2 linked regions of the Canis lupus familiaris genome follow. The protein of the gene in region 1 binds, or shares a complex with, the protein of each later gene. Links are inferred from orthologs where the notes say so. Each region holds a gene or a part of one and is shown in the gene's direction. Other genes may lie near its edges. The genes, in order: PDS5B and WAPL.

Evidence for each region.
Region 2: the proteins of PDS5B (region 1) and WAPL are in contact, whole or in part, in a crystal structure (PDB 5HDT), measured with the Homo sapiens proteins. The link is inferred for Canis lupus familiaris from reciprocal best matches to the Homo sapiens genes PDS5B and WAPL. Residues at the interface, in NP_055847.1 of Homo sapiens: Gln47, Phe88, Ala92, Pro93, Ala95, Trp137, Val138, Lys139, Ser140, Asn142, Ile143, Phe145, Glu146, Glu187, Gly188, Asp189; in NP_055860.1 of Homo sapiens: Lys7, Thr8, Tyr9, Ser10, Arg11.

Annotation. Positions count from the first base shown.
Region 1 is NC_049246.1:7,478,423-7,482,250, reverse strand, and holds part of PDS5B (sister chromatid cohesion protein PDS5 homolog B), read left to right. Parts: intron 1-589; coding exon 590-704; intron 705-2,861; coding exon 2,862-2,994; intron 2,995-3,828. UniProt on the Homo sapiens protein: Regulator of sister chromatid cohesion in mitosis which may stabilize cohesin complex association with chromatin. May couple sister chromatid cohesion during mitosis to DNA replication.
Region 2 is NC_049225.1:35,120,138-35,123,965, reverse strand, and holds part of WAPL (wings apart-like protein homolog), read left to right. Parts: intron 1-311; coding exon 312-407; intron 408-1,441; coding exon 1,442-1,594; intron 1,595-1,839; coding exon 1,840-1,976; intron 1,977-2,672; coding exon 2,673-2,784; intron 2,785-3,393; coding exon 3,394-3,621; intron 3,622-3,828. UniProt on the Homo sapiens protein: Regulator of sister chromatid cohesion in mitosis which negatively regulates cohesin association with chromatin. Involved in both sister chromatid cohesion during interphase and sister-chromatid resolution during early stages of mitosis.

The DNA of each region.
Region 1 (3,828 bases):
AATCTTTATTAAAACTAAGTAGGTTTATCATTCTGACCTCTAAGGGAATATGCTGATCGCAGTCAAAATATAAAAATATTTGAATTTAAACTAAAAGGTGTTTGTTTTATTACTTCATCTGTCTTAGAAATTCTGAAGTCCATTACTTTAGATCTGTTCTGTTACAGGTATCAAAGAGTATCAGTCATCCTATTTTGGCACCATATTGATAAAAAGATGTATCTTTTTTTTCTTAGCAGCTTAACAAGAAACTGTTAAATATGGGGTGCTCATAATGACAAGAAAAATAGATCTTTCTGAGTCTTGTTTAATACATTCAAGTCACTTTTTACCACATGCATTTGAAAATGAAAATGTTTGTCATTATAGCCTTAGCATATGGTGCATTTAGTAGACATCTCAATATTGGACATGGTGGATGAATAATGAATAAACTTGTTTATGATGTTCCTCAATACTGGATATTTCAGTATAGTTTCCGTCTAGCCATGTTGTGGTAAACTATTGGGGTGCAGGAAATATGACATCAGAGACAGAGTAAGATTTGGTTTTCTAACCTGGATGTTTTATTTTGTTTTATCTTTTTCAGAAAAATTATTGTCTCTTCTACCAGAATATGTTGTTCCATATACAATTCACCTATTGGCACATGACCCAGATTATGTTAAAGTACAGGATATTGAACAACTTAAAGATGTTAAAGAGTAAGACTTTTTTCATCCCATGTTAATGTTTTCTGAAAGTTTTTTCTCTTTGCTGCTGATAATGGAATCTTTATTATAATTAGTTTATTAGATTTCCTAAATTCTTAGGAGTTTAAGGTTCTTTCCTGTATTCTCTTATTTTTTTTTCATACCGTCTCTTCATATTTCATTTCCTATGTGATTTCCAAAACTTAATTTAGCATAATTATTGTACTACTGTTCTATTTCTCTACCTTTCTGGCATTTCTTTTCTGTTGATGCAGTCCATTAAAAGCTTCTGTTCCAGTTCTTGTCTTTTCCCACTTTTTTCTGCAATTCTAGATTTTCATGTGGGTGAATTAATTTTATTCACATAGCACTTTTTCCTTGCAGTAACTATCTTCCTCCGGAGGAAGAGAGAATGGTCTAATCTAATGATGGACCAAGCTGATCATCAGGAACTACCCACTTACTACTTTACTGGCGATTTTCTAGTGCAAGTTTATGACACTTGTAATTCTTCCAAAGATTGTTGTTGAGAGGCCAAAAAACCATCTATGCCTGGGTGTGGAACAGGGAAATATAATGGTATTTAGAAAAGTCTTTGTAACACTAGAATAGTTCTTTAAGTTTGAGACCCTTAGCCCCCTTTGTACTATATAATAAAGGATGATCTTTGTGGTTTTGAATAAATGAATTTATTATACCTTAAGCTTCCTATTAAAGGAAAATAATGGTTTCTTCGTTCATTGAAATATTTTATAGTTAAATATTTGAGGTGCCTCAAGAGAATAAAATCAAATTACTGATAACTTTCTCATGGCAAGGGAAAAGCTGTTACCCTCTTAGCACAGTTTCTGGTTTTGTTGTTTTTTAATTTTTTTAATTTTTTATTTTTTTAAAGATTTTATTTATTTATTCTTGAGAGACAGAGAGAGAGAGAGGCAGAGACACAGGCAGAGGGAGAAGCAGGCTCCATGCAGGGAGCCTGATGTGGGAATCGATCCCAGGTCTCCAGGATCAGGCCCTGGGCCAAAAGCAGGCATTAAACCGCAGAGCCACCTAGGGATACCCCTGTTTTTGGTTTTTTAATAAGCAGTTCTCCCAAAATGAGTTCTGCATTAGTGATTATAACTAATGAAAACTTTAACAACTCCTCTTTCTCAGAGAACTTTGGCTTTTGAAATACATTTATTTTTTCTTCAGAATTTACTAAACATTTTTGGCTTATTTTTATTTTTTTTAATGTTTTTTTAAATTTTTATTTATTTATGATAGAGAGAGAGAGAGAGAGAGGCAGAGATATAGGCAGAGGGAGAAGCAGGCTCCATGCACCGGGAGCCCGACGTGGGATTCGATCCCGGGTCTCCAGGATCGCGCCCTGGGCCAAAGGCAGGCGCCAAAGCGCTGCGCCACCCAGGGATCCCTTGGCTTATTTTTAAATTGCCCCAGTCTAGCCATGAGTAATCTCCCCATTCTGTTAGAGAGCCACTTCAGGAGAACTTATCCTATACCTGAGATCCTTAAGGTTATTTTTCCCTTTCTAGAATGATACCTTGCTCCACATTACTCTTGTCTCCCTTGTGCCAAACTCTGTCCTGTTCTGTCCATATAGTAAAGAGACAAAGTACTTTTGGTTTTCTGTTGAATAGAGTTTTATGTAACAACTAATGAATGAAACATCCTTTTAATTTTTCCCTCTTTAAGCAAAGACAGTATGTATATTTGTTAGCCATAACTTTTTCCTCTTTAATTTATTCATGAAGATTCTTAACTATTGAGTGAGATAGTCACTTGAAAACCTTCAATCAGGACTGCATTCAGTCTTAAATTAAGTATTTGAAGCTTCACTTATCCATGGCCCAGTTATTTAGACGATCTTCTCTCCCTGTCATTGCTAGAGTTAGGATCATTTCATTCTCTTCACCATTTAAGTGTTTAACGTGCCTTTTTGGAAACATTAGTGAGATTTTGTGAAGGGGTCTTATAAATTCACACCTATGTTGCTGATAAGTTGTGATATGTATGCATGACATACTTTTTTCCTCTTGATTTATAGTTGGTTTTTCCTTTTTAATTATTTCCATTTGTGGAGTTTATTATATTTAGATTATTGTATCTATATTAAACACCCAGTTTTTTCCACTTCACTTCTTTTTCTCCCCTTCCTCTTTTTAGATGTCTTTGGTTCGTTCTTGAAATATTAATGGCTAAAAATGAAAATAACAGTCATGCATTTATCAGGAAGATGGTAGAAAATATTAAACAAACAAAAGATGCCCAAGGACCAGATGATGCAAAAATGAATGAAGTATGTAATTCTTTTTAAATAATTATGATTCCATGTTGATTTAAGTATTCAAATATGGATATGCTACTTCTGTAGTATGTATAGACATTATCAGTCTTTTGTATTAGTACTTAATAATTACTATTAGTAATTAGAATTACTGATGTAGAATTACTAATAAGGAATTAGTAGTAATGCTGTTACTAGGAAATAATGAAAACATTAGTTTAACTTACACTATTGTACTGAAAACTACATACAGTCATACCTTGTCATAATGTTCTATGCAGATAATTGCGTTTTTCTTAAGTTGATTTATGGCAACCCTGCACTGAGCAAGTCTAATGGCACCATTTTCCAAAAGCATTTGCTAATTTCGTGTCTCTGTATCACATTTTGGTAATTCCTGCAATATTTCAAACTTTTTAATTGTTGTATGTTATGGTGATCAGTGATCTTTGATGTTACTATGATCTTTGATATAATTGTTTTGGGGTGCCACGAACTGCACCCATACAAGACAATAAACTTAATTGACAGATGTGTGTCCTCTGACTGCTCTACCCACCAGCTGTTTCCCCACCTCTCTACCTCTTCGCGGGCTTCCCTATTCCCTGAGACAATATTGAAATTAGGCCAATTAATAACTCTGTAGTGACCTCTTAAGTGTTCAAGTGAAAGGAAGAGTCGTATATCTTTCACTTTTAATCAAAAGCTAGTAATGAAGAAGGTTGGTAAGGATGGCATGTGGAAGCTGAGAGAGGCTGAAAGCTAGATCTCTTGTGCCCAATTGTAAGTCAAGTTGTACATGCGAAGGAAAAGTTTTTAAGGAAATTAAAAGTGCTGCTCCAATGG
Region 2 (3,828 bases), on another chromosome or scaffold:
CTGAGCCAAAGGCAGATGCTCAACCACTGAGCCACCCAGGGATCCCGAATTAACTATCTTGATTAGTAAGTTAGTACAGGCTGGTAATAGTTGCCCACAGCACCAATTGTTGATGTGATAGAACACCACAGTGATTCCATAGGCGTGGGGGCACATGCGAATACAAGCCAGGTATGGTCTATCCTGCTCTGTCTAGGATACGTGTTTAAGTATTTAAGTTATTCTTTGTGATTTTATTTTGTTTAGATGAGACACTTATATAAGGATGCAAAATGAGAAGGAAACAGTTAATCTTTTTCTCATTTCTCTAGTCTCCTACAAAAGCTGTATATAATGCTAGACATTGGAACCATCCAGACTCTGAAGAGCTGCCTGGGCCACCAATAGTAAAACCTCAGAGTGCCACAGTAAGTGAACTAAAAATTTTAATTTCATTTTTTTAAAGCTGTTGCTTTTTATTTACAGTTTGAAAATCTTTGACTTTAACAGTTTATTTTGGACTCCTCATTAAAATTGAGCAGCTTCAGTTTAATTCATGGGAAAAGTGAGGGTTGTGGACACAATTACTGAAGTTCTGATGCTACTAGTTTATAGATAAAAGCCTTAAAAACATTGGAACATGTTTTTCTCCTGACCCAGATCTTATGGAATTACTGTACTTAGTGTTTTAAGGGTAAATTATTCCATATTTGAAGTTTATGTTAGCTATTAAGACTATTATAAATTATATCCTATGTAGCTTTGAGTGGTTAATTTACTTTTTGGAGGAGAACTTTTTCCTGCATTCCAGTAATAGCTTTCAATTAAAAGCACATATGAAAAATTCTTATCAAGTTATTTTCTTTAGAATAACTGGAAGGACCATAGATTAATACTTTTAAATTATTGGTAATACCTCAGTCACAGTATGTCAAGGAATGAATCTTTATAACGACAAAAGAATTAGGGATAGAGCTCTTTCTAAAATATAATAATATACAGTTCCTTGTCTTCTTAAATTTGAATATATTAAACTCTGTATACTAGTATAAAATCATCCTTGTGTATATTAGTAATTATATACCAGGCTTTTATTATGATTATTTATACCCTACATTACAGATTCTTTATTTTAAAAGTTCTCTTGTCTATCTGTTGTGATTTTCTTGTCCCATTCCTGGCCTTTTATCAATGCTATTTATGTGTGTAATTGTGGTTCTTTATTCCTTCTAATGGTCTTGGAGACAAGTAACAAATCATGTCATGAGGTTCAAAAAGACCAGAAGGAATTCCTGAGCGGTTCTTTTATGAGTCTTACCTAGCAGTGCATAGAATTTTAAAGTAGCCCTTATGACCTTTCAGAGGCCTCCTTTTTTTAAATTTTTAAGCCAAATTTGCTAGGTAGATGAGATGTTACTATTTTTATATATTTAGAACAATAATTTAATACCTTTATTAATAGGTGAGGCTGTCTTCAAAGGAACCAAATCAAAAAGATGATGGAGTTTTTAAGGCTCCTGCACCACCACCCAAAGTGATAAAAACTGTGACAATACCTACTCAGCCCTACCAAGATATAGTTACTGCACTGAAATGCAGAAAAGAAGACAAAGAAGTAAGCAGCCATATACAGTTTTACTGCACGTGGATAGATTTTTGTATGTAACATTTAGCCTTTAAAAATGTCTTGAACAGATATCCACGAACTTACCTTTCCTAGTACTACCAGTGTTTTTAAAACATTTCTTTTAGTTGCCATATAATGAACTCTTCTATACACTTCTAAATGAAATACAGCTCATAGATTTTAATGTGCTGGTTCATGGTTACCAAAGAAGTGGACTTATTTTTTCTTCGCAGTTGTATACTGTTGTTCAGCATGTGAAGCACTTCAATGATGTGGTGGAATTTGGTGAGAATCAAGAATTCACTGATGACATTGAGTACCTGTTAAGTGGCTTAAAGAGCACTCAGCCTCTAAACACACGTTGCCTTAGGTGAGGTCTTATTTTTATATTTGATAAATGTATGCATGCTCTCACTAAAATTTTCCAACCAAAGAGCCAAACATTTGTGATTTTGTTATCATGAATATAGTTTATAGCCCATGGTAGTAAGTTAAAAGTGGCTGATTTTTTATATAGGGACTTGATTCTGCATGGACAGAGGAAAGGTGGATGCTTGTACCCTATTAGCATAGTATATAGGCTTTAATTTAGAGATGCTTAAAAGAAGTGTTAGGCTAAAAAAATCTTTTTCAGTCCCAGATTTTAGACAAATGATAAATGTGTTTGATTTAAGCATGTTTTGATTTGGATCATCCTTCACATACTATAATGGATTGAATATCTTAATTTGATTGAATTATCCAGTCAGTTGGAATATATCCTTTCAAGTATTATCTATAGTCTTCCATGTATCAGAAGCATTATGAAAGGTAGTTGAGACTTTTTGCTTTTAATGGTAGTAGTAGTGTAAGGAATACAATGGTGATCATTGTTATTTATACTAATCACTTAACTATGTATGATTTTTAATAATTAGGTTTGCCCGTGTGTTTTATATTGCTATCCATATGGGCAAGTGGCTTGACACCCCTTCCCTTCCCCATTTGCTTCTCTTGGTATTGTGCTAACAAAAAACTAATGACTACTTATTTTCAATACCCCCTAACCTGGTCTGTTTTCTCCTAGTGTTATTAGCTTGGCTACTAAATGTGCCATGCCCAGTTTTCGAATGCACCTGAGAGCACATGGAATGGTAGCAATGGTCTTTAAAACCTTGGATGATTCCCAGCACCATCAGGTATTTTTAAGTTTCTGGTTTTAGGAAGCATTATTTAAAAATTTTTAGTCTATTTGGCAGCACCTGGTGGCTCAGTCAGTTAAGCGCTTGACTCTTGATTTTGCTTGGGTCATGATCTCTTCTTGGTTGTGGGATTGAGTCATCCTAGCTTTATATTTTTGACAAATTTAGCTGTGTTTATTTTATAGAAAAAATAGCTAAGTGTCTGATGCAGACTTTAAGACCCCTATACATTATTGATTTAAGATTAAAATTCAACTTTATTAACTATATCATAAAGTGAGGTAGAGTATAAAAAATTTTGTGTGTATATGCAAAGCTGGAACAATGCTCTATAAATTCAGCATAGAATGGCTAAAGAGAAATGTATTGCCACTCACATTCTTCTAGTTTGGGAGTTTTGATATGGGGAAGACGTCTAGAAAGGAAAATTTTAAGTAACAGCTTTATTAAATTCATGTTTTCCTAGAGTATTCTAAAGGAGGGGGGGGCATTTTCATTGAATAAAACATTTTCAAGGCTTCCAACATGTGAACAAATGTCAAAACAGTGTCATTAACTGAAATGTCACCAATTACTCACATTAACTTTTATTTTTATCTTTTGAAGAATCTGTCCCTTTGTACAGCTGCCCTCATGTACATACTGAGTAGAGATCGTCTGAACATGGATCTTGATAGAGCTAGCCTAGATCTAATGATTCGACTTCTAGAACTGGAACAAGATGCTTCTTCAGCTAAGCTACTGAATGAAAAAGACATGAACAAAATCAAAGAAAAAATTCGAAGGCTCTGTGAAACTGTACACAACAAGCATCTTGATCTAGAAAATATAACGGTGGGTTCCTTCCTTCCACTGTAAAATCTAAAATTACTTTCAGAAATTTTATATTAGTCACAGTAGGTGTGTGACTTTGAGAAATCATTTAACCTCTTGGTCAAAATTGGGAAGCTCTTCTAAAGTTTAGCTCTGAGCATAATTCTGTTCCTAAATTCCTAAACTATCCCGTGTATATTTAGATGGTTTGCCAGTAAATTTTCTTAC